Caenorhabditis elegans: one gene and its partners. The protein of the gene in region 1 interacts with the protein of each later gene in a pairwise test. Each region holds a gene or a part of one and is shown in the gene's direction. Other genes may lie near its edges. The genes, in order: F54D10.7, nhr-49, gad-1 and C05C10.5.

Evidence for each region.
Region 2: the proteins of F54D10.7 (region 1) and nhr-49 interact in a two-hybrid assay, tested with the Caenorhabditis elegans proteins (2 studies listed by BioGRID).
Region 3: the proteins of F54D10.7 (region 1) and gad-1 interact in a two-hybrid assay, tested with the Caenorhabditis elegans proteins (2 studies listed by BioGRID).
Region 4: the proteins of F54D10.7 (region 1) and C05C10.5 interact in a two-hybrid assay, tested with the Caenorhabditis elegans proteins (2 studies listed by BioGRID).

The regions. Positions count from the first base shown.
Region 1 is NC_003280.10:3,818,804-3,823,815, reverse strand, and holds F54D10.7 (Ubiquitin-like domain-containing protein), read left to right. Parts: upstream 1-2,519; 5' UTR 2,520-2,534; coding exon 2,535-2,645; intron 2,646-2,695; coding exon 2,696-3,115; intron 3,116-3,330; coding exon 3,331-3,594; 3' UTR 3,595-3,667; downstream 3,668-5,012.
Region 2 is NC_003279.8:9,867,355-9,875,441, forward strand, and holds nhr-49 (Nuclear hormone receptor family member nhr-49), read left to right. Parts: upstream 1-2,363; coding exon 2,364-2,433; coding exon of another isoform or gene 2,434-2,437; intron 2,438-3,873; coding exon 3,874-3,971; intron 3,972-4,557; coding exon 4,558-4,699; intron 4,700-5,339; coding exon 5,340-5,695; intron 5,696-5,744; coding exon 5,745-6,308; intron 6,309-6,356; coding exon 6,357-6,467; intron 6,468-6,605; coding exon 6,606-6,770; downstream 6,771-8,087. Other genes in the region: K10C3.5 (Elongation factor-like 1), read left to right, coding at 1-474, 1,241-1,576.
Region 3 is NC_003283.11:6,430,412-6,436,413, reverse strand, and holds gad-1 (Gastrulation defective protein 1), read left to right. Parts: upstream 1-2,917; 5' UTR 2,918-2,926; coding exon 2,927-3,119; intron 3,120-3,166; coding exon 3,167-3,912; intron 3,913-3,960; coding exon 3,961-4,139; intron 4,140-4,183; coding exon 4,184-4,503; intron 4,504-4,550; coding exon 4,551-4,975; 3' UTR 4,976-5,094; downstream 5,095-6,002. Other genes in the region: erfa-1 (Eukaryotic peptide chain release factor subunit 1), read right to left, coding at 783-944, 993-1,726, 1,773-2,098, 2,145-2,254.
Region 4 is NC_003280.10:9,936,871-9,941,857, forward strand, and holds C05C10.5 (uncharacterized protein), read left to right. Parts: upstream 1-2,169; 5' UTR 2,170-2,356; coding exon 2,357-2,398; coding exon of another isoform or gene 2,399-2,402; intron 2,403-2,443; coding exon 2,444-2,547; intron 2,548-2,595; coding exon 2,596-2,937; intron 2,938-2,993; coding exon 2,994-3,144; 3' UTR 3,145-3,562; downstream 3,563-4,987. Other genes in the region: C05C10.3 (putative succinyl-CoA:3-ketoacid coenzyme A transferase, mitochondrial), read right to left, coding at 1-18; C05C10.7 (uncharacterized protein), read right to left, coding at 1,273-1,540, 1,585-1,677, 1,732-1,965, 2,016-2,065; ufd-3 (Ubiquitin fusion degradation protein 3 homolog), read left to right, coding at 3,891-3,935, 3,981-4,293, 4,343-4,449, 4,497-4,987.

The DNA.
Region 1 (5,012 bases):
GCATTGCGACTTTGAAACATATTTTGAGCATATTTTCAAAACTTTTAACTGGAAACTAATATATTTTCAAAAAGCACAAGCATTTCTCTATATGTCTATATAAACTTTCAAACAAAAAAAATATAGGGAAAGACGCTAAGTGGAGCAAATATCCTCCAAAACTCGCTAAACTGAGCATCTTCAAACTAGCGTATCTCAAAAAATACTCATCTGGAAAACAAATATTCAACTAACAAAATGATCAGAAATATTTTTTCTTTTTATTAAATTAATTGTTATTTTAATAAACCCACTATTTGTAGAGCCACACAGAGTCAAAGCCATTTTCCAAAATTCACAAAAAATTTTGAGAACTCTTTTGTTGTACCCGTCATAACCCAACATTCATTGAATTTCAGAAGAAAACTTTTAATTAGTTGTATGTGAAAAATATTTTTCCACATTTTATCAGTTTCAAGTTTTTTGATATTTTCATGTTCCGTCAAGTTATAGACCGTTTTCTGAAAAAAATCAAGTTTTGCTCATAAAACTCTTCATATCCAACGTATCGACTTGAAATTTTAAAAAATGCTCACTTTTTTGAGGTCTCTACAATGTCCTAAAAAATCTTTCAAAAAAGCCTGTCCATCTCCAAAATCGTCCTCCGCTCCAAAATAAGAAATGGGACTTTTGCTTTTCGAAAAATAGGCGAAAAAATTAAATTGCGATTTTTGGGTCGAAAAAAATATTTTTAGAAAGCTGAGAACACGCTATTTACGAATTTCATGTTCATTTTAGGTGGTTCCTTTTCTGAAATGACCTAAAAATTTAACAAAAAGAACATAATTTTAATTCTCACGTCAATTTTTTATTCGCAAGAAAACAATTGAAGCACTGAGCAACATGCCAAAAAATTTTACGTGAGAATTAAAATTATGTTCTTTTTGTTTAATTTTTAGGTCATTTCAGAGAAGGAATCAATTAAAATGAACACGAAATTCGTAAATAGCGTGTTCTCAGCTTTCTAAAAATATTTTTTTCGACCCAAAAATCGCAATTTGATTTTTTCGCCCATTTCTCGAGAAGCAAAAGTCCGATTTCATTTTTCGGAGCGAAGGACGATTTTGGAGATGGGCAGGATTTTTTGAAAGATTTTTTAGGACATTGTAGAGACCTCAAAAAAGTGATCATTTTTCAAAATTTCAAGTTTTTACGTTGGATATGAAGAGTTTTATGAGCGAAATTGGATTTTTTCGAAAAACGGTCTGTAACTTGGCGGAACATGAAAATATCAAAAATCTTAAAACTAATAAAACGTGGAGAAATATTTTTTACTTTTTATCCAACAAAATTTATCTTTTCAAATTTGATGGGCGTAGGGTTATGACGGGTACAGCAAAGGAGTTCTCAAAATTTTTTGTGATTTTTGGTAAAATGGCTTTGATGTCTCTACTTAACTCTACAAAAAGTTGGTGTATTGAGATAAAAATTAATGAATTAAAAAGAAAAAATATTTCTGATCATTTTGTTAGTTAAACATTTGTTTTCCAGATGTGTATTTTTCGAGATACGTCAGTTTGAAGATGCACAAAAAAAATCAATTTTAAAACAAATTAAAATCATCATTATTGGCAGCAGAGAGTCTCTGCTGCCAATAATGATGATTTTGGGGTGTGCGGCAAATTTGCCGAATTTGCCGAATTTGCCGAGCACGGCAAATTTCAAAAAAGTAGATTTGCCGAATTTGCCGAGCTCGGCAAATTTCGAAATTTGCCGCATACGTCAAAAATTTGACAGTACAATGTTGACTAAAACTGTTGATTTTTTCGCCAAAAATTTAGTAAAATGACAACAAATTGAGTTATTTTGATGTTTAAGCAGACACACTACACCTAACTTGTTCAGAAACCAGAGGTGTGTTAAGAATTCAGTAGTTTTGGTGCTCCAAAAAATATCAAAAAATATATAATTTTTCCGAGTTTGTTAAGCACGGCAAATTTGCCGAATTTGCCGAATTTGCCGTGCTCGGCAAATATTGGAAAAATAGATTTGCCGAATTTGCCGAGCTCGGCAAATTTTGAGATTTGCCGCACACCCCTGGCAGAGACGGTAGACGGCAAAGAAAGAAATGCTATCTGAGTTTGCCATCTTTAGAGTATGACCGGGACTTTGCAAAATGGTCTGGGCCGGAAAGGAAATGAAAACTCGAAATTTTTATTTAGTAACTGATCGTTGAAAGATCACGTACATATTAGATGACAAGTTGCTCCGCTCATATATTGAGTTTCTGCATTTTTCATCTGTAAGGCGCAGGACAACTACATTTTTTGTGGTTCTTTGTTTTAATAATCTTCAAAAATGCCAAAAAAAAATTGATCTCCCCGCCGCGCACCAATAAAGTGGGTCACTTGCCACGAGGCGATTTCCGATCCCCTTTTACAATCGGTATGCAGGGGAGAGGCTCATTCTCTCATTGATTTGTTTTTTTGTGTGTCCTTTTCCCGTTTTTCTTGTTATTTTAAAATTTAATTAAATTCCAGAAAATAACCTCTGCAATGCCCCCAACTGTTGGAAAATCTACCAATAAAGATGGACCGTCGGATTTGATGTCGGCGTTTGAAAATTTGCGATCTGAAACTGCTGGAATCAATAATTTCCTTGAGAAAGTTTGAATTTGAATTGTATCGGCCTTATTAATATTTATTCCAAATTCCAGGGTCCCACCATCGGTTCGATCACGTCCTTGAGCATTTCCAAATTTGACAAGTTTTGTGAAAATCAGGATAAAGTCAACCAGAAACTGATGCTAGCGATTCAGAAAATGTCCATCGAACGTTCGAAGCGTCAGAAGATCCAAGACGCTTTCAACAAAGAAATGCTCGACGCAATCAGATCTATGAAGAAGGCGTTTGCTCGGGAGAAGGAGGAGTTCAGCGATGATTTGGAGATTTTCAAGGAGGAGCTGTTTGAGAAGCTTGATGAGGATAATGAGACCTCTGAAGACGAAGATGAGGAGGAGGAGAATGATGTTTTGGATGCGATCAAGTTGCTCCAAACTGGACTCGATGCTATGAAAGAGGCACAGAGGGAATTTTTCAAGAAAGTGACTGAGGATACTCAAGCCATCCGGAGAAAGGTAATTTTATGAGATGATTGTGTTCCTTACTTGAGGCTTAGGCTTAATCTTAGGCATAGGCTTAATCTCATGTTCGGCAAACGGCAAATCGGAAACTTGCCAGAAACGGCAAATCGGCCAACCGGCAATTAACCGATTCGCCGAATTTGCCGACAAAAAAATTTGTCAATTGCCGCCCACCCCTGGCCCGTAAATTTAGCAAAAAAATTATTCAGATTGGCTCGAAAAACATAAAGTTCAATGTTATCCTTCACGGAAGCCGAATCCCGATGGAACTGGACTCCCTTGACACAATCTACACGGTCGGAATGGCCCTCCTGAAGCACGGTGGCCTCGCACTGCATCGCCAACGTCTCATGCTCAATGACAAGGAGCTTCAGTATAATCAAACTCTTGAGGAAGCTGGAATTAAGGACGGTTCTGTCATCAAGCAACATACTGATGAAAAGTGTGATGAAGATTGTGAATGTTGTTGTTAATTTATTGAACTTTATTGTTGAATGTGGATATTATTATTATTTGATTAAAAGAAAGATAAATGTTTTATTCAAAAAAACGTGAATCAATTAATTTTTCTGCTACCAATTAAATTCATTTCTCCAAATCTCGGCGACCATGTCGAATTTCCGCTCGGACAATTTGATGTCTGAATTCCAAAAACTTCGCATGGAGACTGCAGATATTGGTTTGGCTCTTGGAAAGGTAACACTTATTTTGTTAGCACCTAATAAATTCTACTTTTCCAGAAGCCAGAAAACTCGGGCATTGTATCCGATTCGCAGCTTGAGAAAGTCATTGAAGAGCAGACAAAACTCAACAAGGAAATCATGGAAGCCGTTCGAAAACTGGAAGTCGAGCGAAAGGAACATCAGGCAAATCAAGAAAAATTCAATAAAGCAATGATGGAGGCTTTTCAAAAACATCGTGATGAAATGAAGGAGAGCATCCATTAAGAACGAAATTTCTCGAAAACCAGAGGCTGCTGTACATGAAAATTTGCCGACGAACGACGCGAAAATCCTCTTCCAACTGACACGTGACGGCAAGCGCGAATGGAGTGAAGCTTTGAAACAGTTCCTATTTGAAACCGAACTCGCAATCAAGAAAGATACCCAGTTGTTTCCAGGGGCGCCGATAGACAGAGAAGAAATCCGTTTCAATGGTGAATGTTTTTTCAACACATTTTCACGTTGTGTGTATCGCGTTTCTGCTGAATTTTAGGGATTTTAAAGCAATTTTCAACAAGCGGGACCGCCCAGAGACTGTTCGCGATGCGATTTACTTAATTTTAACATAAATTTTTCCCCAAATAAGCTCGAAATGAGCTCTGAATTTCGGCGAATCTGAAATTTTTTTTTGACCAAAAACAGAATTTTGCAAATAAAAATTGATTTTAGAGCAATTTATTGCATAAATGTTTAATTTTAGAATTTTTATTATTAGTTTGAATCTTTTTAAAAAGTTTTAGTCATTAATTTGACTGATAACACCGAAAAATGATTTTTCTTTACAACGAAATCGATAAAAAAGTAAAGCAACATTTATCAAGGGAAATCTTGCAAAATTTGTTTAAAAACTTTTATGAAATCAAAGATTTCAATAGAATAAAGCTATAAATCAAGCAAAATCACTAAAAATACAAATAGTTCTGATCAAATTTCAATGTTCCAATCTACCAAGTGATCTGTGATACGCCAAGTTTCTTATGTAAGTGTTGCTTTCCAATTTTCCTTAAAAATGGCTCAAATACTTACACAAATGATCAAATTAACATTTTTTACAAGTTTCGTGTTATATTTTCTTTTCCTTAATAAGGAACCATCAGATTCTTCCTACCCTCTACGGCTCTAGATACCTTAACTTCGACAACTCCTATCTTTTCGGAGAGGCGAGATAT
Region 2 (8,087 bases), on another chromosome or scaffold:
GTTTGTCTGGAAACGCTTCCAACATTGAAAGGATCTTGGTGGTTTCGAAAACCGAAGGAAGTGATTGAATCAATGATTGATCAAATTTGGGCATTTGGACCAGAAAGAGCAAGAGCCAATATTCTATTCAATAATGTTCAAAATTATGATAGAGATTCCGTTTGGAGAAAAACAGAATTTGGTGTTAGAAGATATGATCAAGCACTTGTCGCTGGATTTGAATTATTCTGTAATACTGGACCACTTTGCAATGAAATTATGCACGGAATAGCAGTTATTGTTGAAGAATGGAATGTTGATGAAGAAGATGGAGCTATTGGAGGACAAATGATGACTGCAATAAAAGCTTCATGCTCTGCTGCTGCTAAAAAACTTGCACTCCGCCTTGTCGCTGCCATGTACCGGTGTACTGTAACTACAGCCAGTCAGGCATTGGGAAAAGTTCATGCCGTTTTGTCACAAAGAAAATCGAAAGTAGGAATGGAGAATTGTAGAACATTTTCAAATATAGTTAGAGATTATAAATTTAAATATTTATATCCATCAGGGCAGTAGATTTTTCGCTTTTTTGAAGAAAAAAAACGATTCTATTTTAAAAACCGAAAATCCTGATAACTGATAAATTTAAATTTTACATGTTTTCAAAAAAAAAAAACACTAGAAAATTTAGAAAGAGTGCGATTTCGATGAAAATATTCAAGTTTTCAAAATAAAATTTCAAATTTACAAAAAATTAATTTTTAATTTTTTTTCCGAAAAAAAAATCCGAAATATTCTGATATAGCTCTAAAAATGACACTCGAAATTATGAAAAGTTAAATTTTGACCAAAATATTTAAGTTTTTCAATATATAATTTCAAATTTACAAAACTTTCCTTTTTTTTCAATTTTTCGGCTTCGAAAATTTCCTTTTTTTTGTTTTCGAATATAAACCTGAAATCCATGTCAATATTTAATGTGATTTGCCCATTGAGCATGTGAACGAAGTATTTAATTTTTGTAATTTTCGACGCATCTGTGCAAATAACGTATATATGGAGAGAATATAATGAATGAATCTTCTTTCCAACTATAATCTAAATAGATTTTATGGTTTAGTGTGCCGATTAAACAAATAAATACGGTATATCCAATCTCATTTATATGAGCATTTTGTTTCAAAAATTTCGAATTTTGACTATTACTTTAATGGCGTTGTATAAATACTAAATTTTAAATAAAAAATAATTTTGAATTCAGGTACTCTCCGAGGACATCAATGAAGCTACAAATTTATTCGAAGTGGTCTCCCTAATGCCCGTCGTCGAATCGTTCTCTTTCTGTGATCAACTTCGCAAGTTCACATCTGGAATGGCTTCTGCTCAACTTCAATTTTCTCACTGGCAAGTCATTGACGAGGATCCTTACTGGACGCCGTCTACATTGGAAGAAATTGAAGAATTCGGATTGAAGGGAGACAGTCCGAATCATGCAAGAGGATATATGGATGCAGTTAGAAGACGTAAAGGACTGCCAACCGAGGACCTGATTGTGGAGTCGGCGGAGAAGCAGAGGAATTTGAAAAAGAATAAATAATTTTTTTTTAGTTTCGTGATATTTTTTGTTGTTTGAATTTCCGGTTTTGACACATTTTAATCTTGTTGATTGTTTTACTTGTTTTTTTTTGTTCGTTTTTTTCAAAGAAATAATTAAATTGAAATCATCAATTTGAACTTTTCGAAAATATTTGCTCCAAAAATGTTAACTTATCATATAAGGCATATCTGAAACATTTTAATTTCACTCGGTTAACACTGTTTCATTCACGTGTGGTGGTGTCAACGACCTGATGGGTATAGCGTAGTACGGGAGAGAGGGTCGAGAGGAACTTTCTTACAATCTTTCTCTACCTCTTTTCATCTATTCATCTCTAAAGGTCTGCGCCTCTCCTGTTATCGATTGTCAACGTGCTGTGGGTGGTTGGCTGTCGTTGTTTGGTGTCTCTGTCAACTCCATTCTCTCTAGTTTTTCATATTTCTCGACATGTTTGACCAACCACTGTCTCTTTTTTGTCCTTCTAACCGACTGGCCTGCCAGCTTTAGCTTCTTCTTCTTTTTCACCATTTTCTTTTCTTTTTTTTTCGTTTCCTTTCTGTTTGCCAGTAGTTCAGCTTTTTTCCACAATCAAAAGTTCATAGATTTAATGACTGACTTTAAATGAGACGACGCCGGTCCCAATTAGCTTTGAGAGTACAAAGTACGGGGCATCGAACAACACTGAACTACATAATGTAGTCTCTCACTTCCTGTTTATATGGGGTGATTCGCAAACTCCTTGTATATACTCATCATTTTGTTAGTCAACTCATTCCGTTCTCACGATATGGACTACTTTCTTGATGCTTCTAAACATATTCAGTTGAATCAAATTGATGAAGAATCTTCAGATGATTGTAAGTAAGTTTTATAACGGACACATCAAGCGACATTGAAAGAAAGTCAACTTTTAAAATATCGACTTTCATGCCTTTTTGAATTTTCCACCAAACTGAGAACTACAAAACCAATCAGCGACTTGCTCATTGAAATCCAGAAATTAATAGAATGATTTTTGGATGGCTTCTTTGCAAAGTCCACTATATGGGTATATATGGATTTTTATACGTTCAAATAATATGTACATTTTTGAGTTTATTAACCTGGCTCTTCTAAAAGTTCTAAAGTAATTCAAATGCCCTTTCTCTTAGAACGTCATTCTTCGATGTGTCTCCTCATTTTCTACCAGAATTTACCAAACCCTACAACTGGATCCTCGTCGGTCACTTATTCGATGCATTACATCTCCTCGCTCCTTAGATATAGATCTTACGATCTTGGAGAGAAAAGGAACGACACTACTTAGCGCGACCGTCTATCTTATTCGATCCGTCGGACAAGATTGATCAAGAAGACTTTGAAATAGCATCCGCATTTAAGAATACCTCATTGGAGTGAGCAGAGAGAGAGAAAGACTACTGGAATCTTGCCGAACACATCGACCAGTTTTAGAGTGTGCCACATCAGTCCTTTTCTGATCTTCGCGTTTCCTTTTGTTTGCTCAAGACGGATGATTTCTCAATCTTCTCTACTTTCGCTACAATAGCAACACGTTTAGTCCTACACTACATCTGCTAAACTGGGAGGCTCGAAATTTCCGAGCTATCAAGTTTCGGCTTGCCCTTTCAATGTTCAAATTTCTACTTTTATTGGACTCGATTAGGATACTTTATTGAAAAACATTCTACATGAGCTTCGGTCTTTTTGAATATACGTTCAAAATTGTTCTATATTCAGAAACAATAAATTGAAAGTACCAAGTTTGTCCTTCTAGCAGTGGAAATTCTAATTATATGCTGCTGAATTATCTCCACATCCTCACCAATAAGGTCTAATATAAAACCTACAATTTCTGAACGCGGCCCATTCATCTGCCTAGTGGTCAATGCATCTCAATTGTGTGCACTTGCCGGTCCTTTATTATTAAGACAACATGCGTTCCACTCCTAAAGACACCATTGAAACACTATGACGTCATAGTCGATTTGCAATAGATACGGCAAATCGTTTTTTTTAATCCACCGTATCGTCAGGACATTTTACATTAGGCTTATCAATACTTATATTAAATTTTGTCTTATTTCTTGTGTGTCTATCATGTGTTAAAGCCATTGCATTGACTCTGATTTCTCTACTCGTCTGACACTCTCTCTACCTCCAACACTATTTCATCGTTTCCATGAACAAGTGACATTCGTCGTTTCTCTTTCACTTTGAAAACTTGCGTTGCTATCTGTTGTTTGGTTTTTTTCGTGTTTCATTTGTTTTTTTTGTTGTAAAAAGTTTAATTGTTTCAGTCATGGACCTAGTAGATCCTCTTGCGGAACCATGTGCCGTTTGTGGTGACAAATCAACTGGAACCCATTATGGAGTCATTTCCTGCAACGGGTGTAAGGTGAGAAGGGATAAATTATAAAATAATAAAAAATAAATTATATTTAGAATTATGTGAAATTATAAATTCAGTTCTCGTCACGAAAAATGATTTTGGAAATTATATTTTTTCCTTTTTTGAAAAATGAAAAATCTCAGTTTTTGCCACTTTTGGAAGTCGTTGATCAAAAAAATTGTTTCCTTATAATTTTATGGACTACTTATGTTTCAAATATTAATAATCAAACACTATAGGGATTCGATAAGCGACAGGGCTATAGTTTTCTCAAAAAGTGGCAAAAACTGTAATTGCCAGTTTTTACTGTCAATAAAAATTTTCTAACTTTTTTTGTTAACTTTGGTACCACAGGAGTAGTTTTTAAAAAACAATTTCCTCACTTTAAAGCAAAGTAATATTGACTCCACCTACAGTAACCCACGCTTTTCGCGCATGCTTTATTTGAAAACATATTGTTCGTGACGAGACCGAGTACTGTACTTTATGGTTGCAAAAGTTCGTATTAATTTAACTGGTTTTTGAAAGTTATGATTATCATCTCGAACTTTTTAATGATTTATCCCGCATTAATAAAACTCATGAATTTCAGGGATTCTTCCGCCGAACAGTTCTTCGTGATCAGAAGTTCACTTGCCGTTTCAACAAAAGATGTGTGATTGACAAAAACTTTCGATGCGCGTGTCGTTATTGTCGCTTTCAAAAGTGTGTACAAGTTGGAATGAAACGAGAAGGTATTCATTTCTCTTTCCGTTCAATATTTGAATATATCCAAAACACAGTGGCCTCATGTTTTTCACCAGTGACCTCTTTTCAATTTCGTCCGTGAAATGAGATCGGCCGCAAAAAAGATTCTAACTTGAGATATTGATTCGGAAATTTGCCCCGTTAACTCAGAATTTAGAATATATTCTTCTTTCTTTCCTTTTCCTGTCCGTAGATTCCATTTCAAAACACGATATTTCTAAAAAAAAATTGTTTCGTAGTTTTCTATCTAGAAAAAATAATTTTGGAGCAAAATATCGTATCTAATTCTACATACGTTTAAAATTTGGATGTTTTTTCATGTTTAATTCGTTATTTTAAAGAAGAAATAGAGTCATAATGACAGAACATAACTGTTAAAAATTGTATTAAATTTTGAATGATTTCTTTTTTTTTAAATTTACCAAAAAATTATATTGAAACAAAGCCACAATAAACATTACCGAAAAACGCAAAAATGTCGAAAATATAGTAAACTATAATTATATTTCATTCATTTTCGTGGGAATTCAAAAATACAAATTTTAACAACTATTTTCTGTCATTCAGGTCCATGTTCTATCATCTGAATCACATCCACGATCAATTCTACAATTTAATATATTTCAGCTATTCAATTCGAACGTGATCCTGTAGGTTCACCAACATCTGGAGCCAGTCTCAACGGGACTCCATTCAAAAAAGACAGAAGCCCCGGATACGAGAACGGAAACAGCAACGGTGTCGGATCAAACGGTATGGGACAAGAGAATATGCGAACAGTTCCACAATCCAGCAGTGTCATTGATGCTTTAATGGAGATGGAGGCTCGTGTCAATCAAGAGATGTGTAATCGATACCGAAGATCGCAAATCTTTGCAAACGGCAGTGGGGGGTCGAATGGAAATGACACAGATATTCAACAAGGAAGTGATTCTGGAGCATCGGCATTTGCACCACCAAACCGGCCATGCACAACCGAGGTAGTGAGTTGGATGGTACGTAAATTAAGAGGTCACATTGTTTTATTTTCAGGATCTGAATGAAATCTCCAGGACAACACTTTTATTGATGGTTGAATGGGCAAAAACAATTAATCCATTCATGGATCTTTCGATGGAAGATAAGATCATTCTACTGAAAAACTATGCACCACAACATCTCATTTTGATGCCAGCATTTCGAAGTCCCGATACAACTCGAGTTTGTCTCTTCAACAATACTTATATGACACGTGACAATAACACTGACCTCAATGGATTTGCTGCATTCAAAACAAGCAATATAACACCCAGAGTTCTTGATGAAATTGTCTGGCCAATGCGACAACTTCAGATGAGAGAACAAGAATTTGTATGTTTGAAAGCACTTGCATTCTTGCACCCAGAAGCCAAAGGACTCTCGAATAGCTCACAGATTATGATTCGTGATGCTAGAAATCGTGTTTTGAAAGCTCTTTATGCATTCATTCTCGATCAGATGCCAGATGACGCACCCACAAGATATGGAAATATTTTGTTGTTGGCACCGGCTCTCAAGGCTCTGACTCAGCTGCTCATTGAGAATATGACACTTACAAAGTTCTTCGGATTGGCAGAGGTATGAAAGCTTTTCTTGTTTGAATCCGTACATAAATGATAGCTTCAGGTGGATTCTCTGCTCTCCGAGTTCATTCTCGACGACATCAATGATCATTCGACGGCTCCGGTCTCTTTACAGCAACATCTTTCATCTCCGACAACGTTACCGACTAATGGGGTTTGTTTTTAATTATTTTATTAAACTTTTTATTCTAAAAAAATACAAAAATAGCGAAAACGGCCAATGATTTCAGGGAAAAACCGTAAAATTCTCTTTTTAAAAAAGATCTTCCATTTCAAAATTCATATTTTTCAGGTATCTCCGTTAAATCCAGCCGGATCAGTGGGAAGTGTTTCGTCTGTTTCTGGAATTACACCAACTGGAATGCTCTCAGCAACTCTTGCAGCTCCATTGGCAATTCATCCTCTCCAATCACAAGATTCCATTTTGAACAGTGAGCAGAATAATCATATGCTCTAATAATTCCATTTTTTCTCCCAAAACTCTTCACCTCATCTCATCTCCAGTTCTATTCCGAATCTGTGATCTTTCATCTTTTCCCTTATTGTTGTTTTGAATCATTACCCCCAATTTATAAAATAGTCCAGAGCCCAGCTATAATGTACATAACAAAAGAAGAATACCCTTCCGTCTCAGTAGTTGTTTCATCTTGAAACCTGTCTAGGCCATCTCTATATCATATCAGGTTATTGTTCTCGTCTCCCCCAACTCTTCTTCCTTAATCTTTTTTCCAGACGGGCTGGCTCTCGTTTATTCTTGTGATTATTATTGTCAATCAAATTATCAGTTTAGTACTTCAATATGTATAAGAAGTGACTGTCTTGGCATTTCCCATCTCTATTTAGAAGATTCCCTTCTTCCCATTTTCCTTCCTTCTTTTCAAGCGTTCGTACCAATTTATGTTTGCAAAAAGAAACTTTTATTTATACTTTTTCAAAGCTCATCGATAAAATACATTATTATACCATATTTTATTATTCGTATCAAATAAACACAATTGACTCATCATTATGAATTCACTCGAGAAGTTCAATGCCACGTCCTCCACCACCTCCACCAAGACCGTAAGTTTTATTGCAATTTAGAAATTTAGAAGAATTTACAAAAAGTATTGTTTTCCAAATGTTTGAGCACCTGGTGTGAGCTGCTGGAGGTGAAGCTGAGCTTTTTAGTTTTTTTTTTCAAAATTAGATTTTTTTAAATTGTTTATTTCTCTAAAACTCTTCAAATTGATGATTTTTGTTTTGATTTCAATTGACACGATCATCTAAATGATAGTGGATATATGACCATTTCCCAAGACACTTGAGATCAATTCAATGATCCGAACAGTGTACATAACGGGGTAAAAGTGATGATATGTCTATTGGAAGAGGGAAGATGAAGAAATTGTGAGCATTTAGGCTTAGGTGGGTGAGTTCACACCTCTTGGAGCACATACACTTCAGCCAGTTTTGGACATTTTATTTAGTTTTTTTGGGTTGCTTGTTTTGGTTTTTTGATATTCTTTCCATTCTGAGACAAGAATTTGGTAACTAACAATTAGTAGTAGATTTCAAAACGGTCAACATTTTATCTTTCTTTAAGATCTGTTCTTAAAATCAAATGTGAACCTTTAAAAAGTACCGTAACAACTTGTTTCAGTTTTCAATCATTTTTAAGAGAAAATTCTATTAAGAACTTGAGAGAAATTTTCAAAAATTGAAGAAAAGGTTAACTTCGGGAAAGTTGGTTACTGTACTACTTAAAGGCGCACACATTTTTGTGGCTTCAATT
Region 3 (6,002 bases), on another chromosome or scaffold:
ACAAATAATTGTTATTTTATAAATGCTTTATTTTTAACCAACATATTTATCAGTTACAGTCACCGATAATACAAAATTGATTCAACCACATACTAATTTGAATTAAGAAAAATAAAATAATGGTTTAATTCTAGGTATTTCCAAAACAAACTTTAGAAAACCTAGAAAAACCCATAAATTTGACAATTAAAAGTCATTGGAATTGCGAGTAGAAACATCCACCGAAGGAAGCGAAAGGGTTGAAGTCATCGAGTGTGAGTGTGTCGCCCGTGCCTCTACCTGAAAAAAAAACTTGTTTCAAATAAAGTTTACGACTACAACTTTAGTTGTAGCGTGAAAACCTAGTTAATTTAACAACAACAACAAAAAATATCACGATCAATATTAGATATTTTTAAAAGAATCATGATAAATCAGCTCACCTTTGTCCGGTTGAACAAGCCGCCAATAGCATCTTCGTTCCGGGCGTGGAACGTTTCTTTTTCAGTATGCTGGCAGACGTGAGATGCCTTGCCAGCTGAGCTAAAAGCATCAACAGACCAAACGAAACGACAGTAGTGAGGGACACGGGGCGCAAACTCGATGAAATGGAATAGAAACTTAGAATAAAGTGTGGTATGGGATATAGCAATTAATGATGATGATGATTGAGAAAGGGAAATATTATAATTTGACAATGCTGGATAATTTATGAAGAGATTGATAAAGAAAAAAGAGGATACAAGCTTAAATAACAAAAGAAACGAGTATGGCGCCCAATGGCTCACTACTGCCGCCCGTGATCAATAGTCATCAAGGTCAATGTTGTCGAGCTCGTCTTCAAGGTCTACATGAGCCAAGTCAACGCGATAACGGAGCAATCCTCCGATACCTCCGAATCCTCGAACAAACTGGGCTCCTTCTTGCGACTTATCTGTGACGATTTCCAAAGCTGCTCCGAAGTTCTACAAAACATTAATAAAAAATTAAATTTCGATAAAGCGAGCGCCCACCTTGTAGTTATTAGCAAACCATTCCAAAAGTGGCATAGTCTCAATAATTTCCATATCTTGTCCAGTTTCACTGTCGGTGAAATGAGATTTGTCCTTCTCCTCGTCAGGTCTCAGATTCAGAAGAATGTCCTCTCCGAGTGAATTTTTCATCTTGTACCGAACAATATCCAAATTCTCCCAGCAGATGAGAGTTTCAATAGCTCCCATTTCAAGTGCGGCAAGAGTGTCTTTAACTCCGAAAACGTATTTTCCAGTGTCTTGGCTGATTTCATCGAAATATCCACCAATCAGTTTCTTTTCCTGAATGAACTTAACACTTGCCAGCGTATCGGCAGCAAGTTCAATAGCTTGGTTGAAACCATTTTCACCACCATAAGCAATATCGACAGTCTTGATCATCTTGGCTTGAAGTCTTTGATCAAACATATCAGATTGTCCCAACTCTGTCTTGAAATCTGCACTACCAGCAAGAATAAGTCCAGCAACTGTAACCTTGTCGTTCTTGATAAATTGTTCCACCGAATTTTCAGCTACTTTACGGACGTAATTGTGCCGCTTCTCATTACGGAGACGAGCAAAACGGACAGCAGATTGACCTCCTCTACCGTGCTTCTTTGGAAGATCGACAGTGAACTTGTGCAGAACTTCACGAGTGTTTCCTTGGAGTGTTCCGAACAGACAACCGTTTCCATCCATAATGATAAATCCGAACTTGTTATCGTCAGCAAGAAGACCTGAAAAATGGTATATTTTATGATGCATGATGAAAATTAGAAATACCTTGAAGAGCTTCGGTGTGAAATTTGTTGTCGCAGAGATACAATGAAGTATTGATTGCTTTGAATGGCTCAAAATCAATGTTAACTTTCTTTTCCTTTCCTTCGTCGGTCATGATTGTTCCACAGTAAACGACCAATCCATTTGGTGGGACTTTGTTGTAGAGTTTCAATCTTCCCTGTACTGATGTGATAGCTCCCAAAACGGAAAGTCTGTTGACACGAGACTTGATGTTAGATGCCGTTCCGTACTCTTCGGCCAACATTCTCTGGATTCTAGCCACTTGATCTTTTGGTGGAATGATCAGCGAAATCATAGAAGTTCCATTTCTGTAAAAAAACAAATGTAAAATAAACGCTTCACGAAAATAGTTACCCTCTGGCTAATTCCAAACTTTTGATGAGCCGTTTAATTTTCCACATTTCGACATTTCTATCGGCGGCGTCATCGCCTCCGGCGGTAGCACCTGCTGCGGGAGCGCTCATATTCTATTTGTGCTGCACGTCACCGATTACCTGTAATTGTATTATATAAAACACGAAAAGAGAGTTAAAGTAATTAATTCGGGGAAGAAACTCAAAAATGCGAAAAAAAAGATATTTATAGAGAACTGGTTATTCTACATTGCACAGAGTTGTGATGGAAAATTAGAATATTGTGCAACATGTTGCAATGGTTTCAATTTGATTTTTTTAGAAGAAAATGTATTTCGTTTTCTCTGAGCAATGACAAAATGATGAATAAAACATTTCTGAACAATTTAAACTGCAAAAATCGATAATTGATGACGCGTAAAAACTTTAAAAACTGAAAATGGGAAAAGAATTTAAATGGTGCCAAGGAACACGAATACGGTTTGTGGAAGGGTCTCGGCGCGAAGTAATGTCCGATTGTCCACACTTTCTCCGCGGCCTAGTCTCCGAAACAAGTCAGCCACGTCCTCAATGTTCGAAATTCGAAAACATTTTTCAGCTTTCATCAGAACTCCAGGACTGTTTCCAGAATTTATTAGTTTTTTTCGCCAAAATATTATATATGTACCACGGCAGTTCATTATATTGGTTGTATTACACGTTTCTTTTCGTTATTAACTCTTTTTTTCCCGTTACCGCCTAATAGATGAAAACGAATTTCAATAATTCTTTCAGATCACCACAATGGATGATAATACGGCTCCAAAAAAGAATTCTGAAAAGAAGGCACGCGTCTTTGACCTCCAAGCAATGTTCGCGCAAACGATAAGCAATGCTCCCAGAACTGAGGAACCAACTCACGTTCCGCAGTCGGTATCGGTGTCTTCTAAATCAGAATCTGGTGTTTCTTCTTCAGCTGTATCTGATGATGAAGATGGTAAGCCGAATATAATGTTTTAATTATTTCAAATTTGTTTTTTCCAGATTTCATGCCAGATCTACCTCCAGGATTCCAAATGCAACAGTCTGAAGCGGGCCCCTCCTCGTCTCGAGCTGAAGGTCCCGAAGATAGTGATGATAGCGATTTTGACGAGACAGAAGCAATCTCCATCATCAAACTGATTCCAGCTGCATGTGAAGCGAAGATCAGCCATGGCACTCAAGCCATCAGTGCACTTCGGGTTGAGCCTCCTGGTGTTCGGTTTGCCAGTGGAGGGCTTGACTATTACGTGAAGCTGTTCGATTTTCAAAAAATGGACATGTCAATGAGATACGACAAAGAGCTTCTGCCTGCAGAAAGTCACGTTATCAATTCCCTGGCATTCTCTCCGAACGGCGAAACTCTTGTAGTAGCTAGTGGAGAAGCTATCATTCGCCTACTGGATCGAGCAGGAAAACAATGGTCTGAAACAGTTCGTGGAGATCAGTATATTATTGATTTAAACATCACTAAAGGACACACAGCAACAGTTAACTGTGTCGAATTCAATCCACTAAACAAGAACGAGTTTATCTCTTGTTCTGATGATGGAAGTCTACGACTATGGAACCTCGATGATCATAAAGTAATCACCAAATGCATCAACAAGCACAGGAAAGTCATCAAAACAAAAGGAGCTAATGGAAAACGTGTCAGCCCGCAAGTTTGCACGTTTTCTCCTGACGGAAAATGGATTGCCGCCGGTTGTGATGACGGATCTGTTCAAGCATGGAAGTATGGATCGCAATATGTAAGTTGAAGTTCAAAAACACTGTTTATTCTCATATTTTAATTTTAGGTCAATGTAAATTACCTTGTACGCAAAGCTCACAACGGCTCGATTACTTCTATTGCTTTTTCGCCCGATTCAAAGAGATTACTGTCTAGAGGTTTTGATGACACTCTGAAGATGTGGAGCTTAGATAACCCAAAAGAGCCGCTTCTTGTGAAAACCGGTCTCGAAAACGCTTTCAAAAGGTATCCTTCTATTAAAAACTTCACCATAAGTATATTTTTTGTAGTACTGATTGCGGATTCTCCCCTCGTGCCGAGGTTGTCTTCACTGGTACATCGTCACCCAACAAGGATACACCTGGAACATTACAATTCTTTGATCCAATGACATTTGATCTTGTCTATAAAATTGATTACCCTGGAATTTCGTGCCACCGAATTCAGTGGCACCCGCGATTGAATCAAATTATCGCTGGACTCTCGGATGGCACCATTCACGTGTACTACGATCAAACGATGTCACAGCGAGGAGTTATGTCATGTGTGACGAAGCCACTCAAAAGAAATCGCGCATCTGAAGTTGTTCGAGAAGATATGGTTCTTTCTCGTAAGTTAAACAATTTTTTTCGAAAAATATTTATCTTCATATTTCAGCTCTTTCCCTCGAAATGTTCCAACCGCGCGGAGAGGAAGGAGAAGAAAAGGAAGTCACTGGATGGAGAATCAAGAAGTATCTCCGAATGCAGGATAACAAGCTTCGTCCCGAGTTCCGGAAGCCTGCAGATATGCCTATCAACGGAAAGAGCGCAAATGGACGTGTGGCTGCAAGTGGTGGAAGTCTTCATTCGTATTTGGCAAAGCAAATCGGAACTGCTCGTAATGCCGAGTTCCTAAAAGATACCGATGTTCGTGCAAGCATCCTGAAACATGCTAAAGACGCCGAAGAGAATCCATTGTACATTGATAAAGCGTATCGAAAGACACAGCCAAAGAAGATTTTCCAAGAAACTGCAGTCGAGCCAGAAGATCAAGATGACGAAGAGCTACAGCCTGTCTTCAAAATGCCGAGAACGAAGTAGTCGTTGCATTAATTTTTTGTTTTTCATCTGTCTGTCTCCCTCTTGTAATATTGTTTTCCTATTTTTTTCTCTATTTTTTGTGTCCCAATAAATATAGAGTCAATGATCACATGATGTTGGAGAAATTGTGTGTTCGCCATAGTCATTGTCTTGTCCAAATATCTAACGCTAGCTACACTCTAGCATGCTGCTCACTTCTATCTTTCCCATTCTTCCAACTCCCCCCCATTTCAACAATATGTGGTCGTTTGTGTCAGTGTCCGGTGGACGATGGCTACACTTTTGCCGCAAGAATTGTATCCAATCGGGATCAGGTTCACTTTTAAAATTGAACCCGGTTCGGATGTTTCGCTTTTGATCTCCTAATCCAAAAACCTGAAACTGTATTTTTAAAAACGTTTCTATTATGGATTTAATTCCAAAAATTGAGAAAACTATATTTAAAGAAGAAATTATTGACATGGCCTCCATTCCATTTCTTTCTTATCATACATTTTCCCACAACTGATACCATGTGCAGCCTATTCAAAGGGTCACTTTTTGCTGAAGTGTGTAGAACAAACATGCAATCCGAAATTACAGTTCCACAACTGTTTACTCTACAATTTCCTTTTCACATTTTCTTCCTGTTTCAGTGCCGAGAAATTGTAGCTAGTAGCAAACAAAACAACGCCGTGAAATTTCGTCCTTGAAGTTTCCCTTTCCCTCCCGAGAAACATCCAAGTTCTCGACGGTTATATCGATAATTATCTTCTTTTTGGTCGAACTTTCTGTCTGTTAAAATAATGATAGGTTACGGTTGAAAACATAAATCTAACATTTTTTCGAGATTAGACTTGAGATCAATCTATAAAATGAGTCAAGTCGTATGAAGTTTCATCTACATACTTGACCACAAGTTGATCACTGAATTGAACTGCGCCTAGATCTCACACTATACCCGAAAACAATCTCCACCCTCCCAATTAAATAGAAATAGTGACATCATTCAAACCTAACTAACTTTGTAAAATGTCTATTGTTTTTA
Region 4 (4,987 bases), 6.1 Mb from region 1:
TTTTGAGAGAATCGGCATTTTATCTGAATGAAAATTTTTTTAATTTTGGAAAAAGAAACAATATATTTAGGATTATAAGATGGAAAAACCAGAAAGTCAAATTTGTGGAACAAGGAATCGGTATTAAGTAGAAAAGATTATAATTGTGTGTTGATACTCGATAACAATTTCCGTGTTGCGTATTTGATTTCTTATCAATATTATTTACAATAAAGTAGCGGAAACGTACAAATAAAACGTTTTAGTGATGGGAACGTCTCATTTACTGAAAATAATAAAACCCGGTATCGACACGACAATTTTTTATTTATTACGGTACCAAGTACGCATTCTCATGATTTATTGTTCCCGTAATAACGCGAAGAGGAGTGCGCTTTTAAAATGTACGGTAATTTCAAACTATCGTTTCTGTATGATTTTCATAGATTTTTTCACAGTTTTTCAATTATCTCAAGTATTTCAAAATATTATCAAGAAAACTAAAACAAAACAATAAAAACAGTTAAAGTTTAATGCGAGAAAAAATATAAAAATTTTGCTGCAACGAAATTTTAAAACTACAGTACTCTTTAAAGGTACACATATTTTTTCAATTAACAAACTTTGCAGTGTCGAGACCGGGTTCTGTATTTTTAGTACAAAAGTTGCAAAAATAACGCGTCTGGGTAAAATTTTCAATGTTAATTCCGATGGGGCTCTAGAAAAATCATGATAAATTCACTGAACTAATAAAAATTTAGAAAACTGTTATAAAATCTTAATTTTTAGAGGTAGAATTGTCTAAAGCAAAAAAAAAACTAAAAACCATCAGTAGCCAATAGTCTGAGCGAGTGTGTCACAACTTGAGTACACAAAAACGTTTCTTTTTCGCATTTTTTGTCTACTTTTTATAGAGACGCAGACAGAAAATCAGGGAAAATGAGAAGTGAAGTTAACTGAAGGTCTGGGAAACACGTGGTTGTGAGACTGGCGAAAAGTTTTGAGAAGAAAAATTCGGGTGATATTTGGGAGGAGTTCTGCCTTGAGAAGTTTGATGTTTGAAGTGTGATCTGTGATAAGGATGGGAGGGCAACAGAGACAGGTGGCCAGGACACAAGTGTGCTACTGACGTTAGCTTCTTTTTAAATAAAATTTTCAAATGTAGTTTACTGTCATTTTAGCGAATTGTACAATTAAAAAAATATATATAAATCCGTACATAGTTACGAATAAGAGCAATTTTAATAAAACATATGTTTTTTTTAAATTTTTATTCAAGATTTAAAAGATAACTTAACAAAATCTGCGGTACATAAACCAACAAATAGGAATGACGGCTAATGCACCGGAAACGTATAAAAGTTTCGAAAATTTGGATATAATTGGGGTCTCATCTTGCGCTTCTTGTGTAATCTGGTCCTGAAGATCCTCCACGTCGATCAGCATGATTTTAACAGTTGACCGGAACGCTCGGATCATTTGAAGAAGATTCTTCACATTTTGAGAATCATCAAAGCCCAAATCACGACGTTGTTGAGGAGAATATTCATCAAGGAGCTGTCTTAAAATTGACAATTGATGAAAAGTTTGATTTCCAAGACCGACCCGCAATGAATAAGTTGTCGCTTCATTTTGTGTACTCCCATTTCGGATTTTGTGAGGACGTCGTGGAGACGAATGACGCATACTGACTTTTCTCTGGAAAAAGGCAAATTTAATTCTTTATAAAATGTATACTTTTAAAAAACGCACAGGTTGTTTTCAGGGCAAGCTAGGCTGTTGAAAACTGTACTGGCATCCCAATCCAGAACTTCCGACTCTCCAGCTTCTCCAAACGCTGTTTCTTTTGAAAGTACAACTGGACTTTCTCCCAGAAATGAGCCAACAAACTCGGATTCGAACTTCCTTGGAACCTCTTCCTTTTTGATGATTTTTGGAGTTTCTTCTTCGACTATCAAGAATTCTTTTACATGGATCTGAGGTGATCTGTAAAAGTTAATATTAGAATTATTATTAGTTATTAAAATAAAACAAACCTTAGCTCAAATCCTTGAAATTCTGAATCAGAATCGTCAAAATCTGACATTTTTCAGAAAAGAGTGTTGTAAAACAAAAGAAATTTAAAAAAACTGCGAAACTGTGTATTTTTGCGTCATCGTGTTTGAACTATTTGTGCGCGCGCGTTTAAAAAAAAACAAAAACAATTATTTTCGACCTACTTATTTTATTGATCTGCCTCTATTTTACCGATGAAAGTGTATCAGTCGAAAATTAAAATTATGCGCGGGAAAATTCTGATTTTTTCATTTAAATTTTCGCTTGTCATTCATTCCACAGACCCATTTTTTCTCCCTCTCACCTATTTCACACACTAATTATGGAGCATTTTCATGGAAATCGCTGGGACCAGTTGCGTGCTGTGAGTTCTTGAATTAAAATTCGTTTACAATATTTATATTTTCAGGTAGAAGCTGATATTCTGTGTCCCCCGCCTGCAGATCCATTCCAAATCTTCCCCAGTGGATGGACCAGAGCCTCGGAGCTCAGCGAAAAGGGATGGAGAGAATTGTTTGTCCCAAAATGTTATATAATTGTTTCTATAATAAGATTATTCAGGCTTGACCGCAGAAGATCGCAAAGCCCGCCACCACGTGAACCATCACCAGACGTCAGAAGAGCGATCAGACGGACACCGCCGCCACGTGTCAACCGTGTGGCTCCGATTCGACTTCCAGAGCGGCGTCCATTGCGGCAATTGAACGCCAATGACGCCAGAAGACCAGCACAAGACGCTGCAAATCGCATAAATCAAGAGAATATGCGTGCAGGAAATATCGACAATGGGCAGCCACGTCGTCGAGCACTCTCCCCGACACAATTGCCAGGAGTTCGTGCGATTCCAAAGGACTTCAATCGCTTCTTCCGTGGTCTTCTGACACCTGGAGAGTTCTTTGCCAAGTGAGTTTGGATTTTCTAGCTGTTTTTAGGCTCAATTTAAATATTAAAATTTTCAGATCGCAAACCCGGTATCTTGGGCCATTCGACGAAATGCCAACGGAGGATACACTTCCAGCAGCCGACGAGTACATCATTCTGCAGCGAATGGGACGACTTCCGGATAGCGGTAAATCAATCTTCAGACAGGTCGGCAATCTGTCTACATGATTCCCAGGACTGAAATTGCTGCCCCTCAACGTTTTATCCACATTTTTCCAGTTGAGATCGCATTTTTATCTTTAAAAAATTTACTAAACCTTATTGTTGCCATGAGTCATAATTGTGATATACCTATAATTCCTTAATATAATCAATCTTCTTGAATCCACCCCACTCATTGATTAGTTGTGTGCAATAATAACTTTCGTTTAATGTTTGTAGTCTATTGGTATCGCTGTTTTAGCGTTTTTATGTTGTTTTATAATGAACCAACACCGTTTCCCCATTTATACTTGCGTAGGACAAAAATAAATCAATTGTCTATCAAACTCGGTTCCTTTCTTGTTTTTTTTTTGAAGAATTAAAAAGGTATCACTCCTGTTTCGAGACTATCTAGTGCGATGTAAATTTCGCTCTCAAAAAACCTACTAAATTAAAAAAAGTTTGCCGATAAAAGTATTATTTATTTTTAATTATTGAATTTTTAACACTCTTTGCAAAGTCTTGATGTTCTGTGAAACTTCAAATATTTATTTAAGCGAATCTGAATGCCCTTCTCCAAAAAATTGCATCCTATCAGTGTTAAATTTTGAATTCCCGCAAATTTGCCTACTGCGGGGTCGTAGAAATCCTCTTCCATGTGGCGTTAGTTCGGAGCATCGTTTGCAGTTTGTCATCAAAACTTTTTCGGATTTTTCTCAATTTCGTTATATTTTTTTGTTGATTAACTTTAATTAAAAGCTATTCTTCAGATAATGGCAGATGACGGTCTCGGTGACGTGCCAATGGAAACGGAAAGTGTGAGTTTTAGAATTTGCCGAATTGAAGTGGAATTTATTTTGCAGATGCCACAGTACACAATTTCCCATGTTATTGAAGCCCACAAATCCGACACAAAGGCTTTGGCAGTTACTCAAGGCGGATGCTTGATATCGGGTGGTCGTGATGAGACGGTTAAATTTTGGGCAAAAAAAGGAAAACAGTATACGAAAACGCACGCCTTTGAACAACCGAAAGGAATAACTGTGAACTCCATTGCATACGCTGAACTAGCGGACGGATGGAGACTTTTTGTTGGCCGAAGAGATGGAACAATTGCAGTTTTTGGCCCGAGTCAGGCGGAACCATATGCAATTTTCAATGAGCATAAACAGAATGGTATTTTTGCTTTAAAAAATATTCAAAAGTGCAAAATGAATAATTTCAGTTTGCTGTCTTCACATTAACGAAAAAGCGACTCACATGCTGAGTGGTTCGTGGGATTCCAACGTCATCATCTGGCCGATTACCGAGTTGAACTCGTCGTCATTCACTGTAATATATTTTTAATCGTTTTTTACTGGATTTTAAAGTTAAATTAGTTCCAGACTATTGTTTGTCCAGGCCATACCTTGTCTGTGTGGGCTCTCGCTTCTTTCCCGGATCTTCCCAACACTTATCTATCTGCCAGTGCTGATAAAACAATTCGTATGTGGTTTGGAGATACCACTCTCTCAGTTTTCAAAGGCCATACTGATGTCGTGCGAGCTCTCGTCGTATTATCAAGCTCTCACTTTTTATCTGCTGGAAACGATGGACATATCATTCATTGGGATGTTGCATCAGCGTCGATTCTCAGAAAATTTGCAACTCAGGCACATGAATTCATTTATAGTATGACATTGAGCGATTCCCACATATTAACAACTGGTGAAGACGGAACACTTGAATTTTGGGCAATAGATGGAGGCAAAGATGGAAATTTGGCAATTGTTTCTGAAGCAGTTATTCAATTACCAACTACGAACACTTGGGATGCTAAAGTTTTATTAAATTCCGATATCGCTGTGGCTGGAAGTGATGGACGGATCTA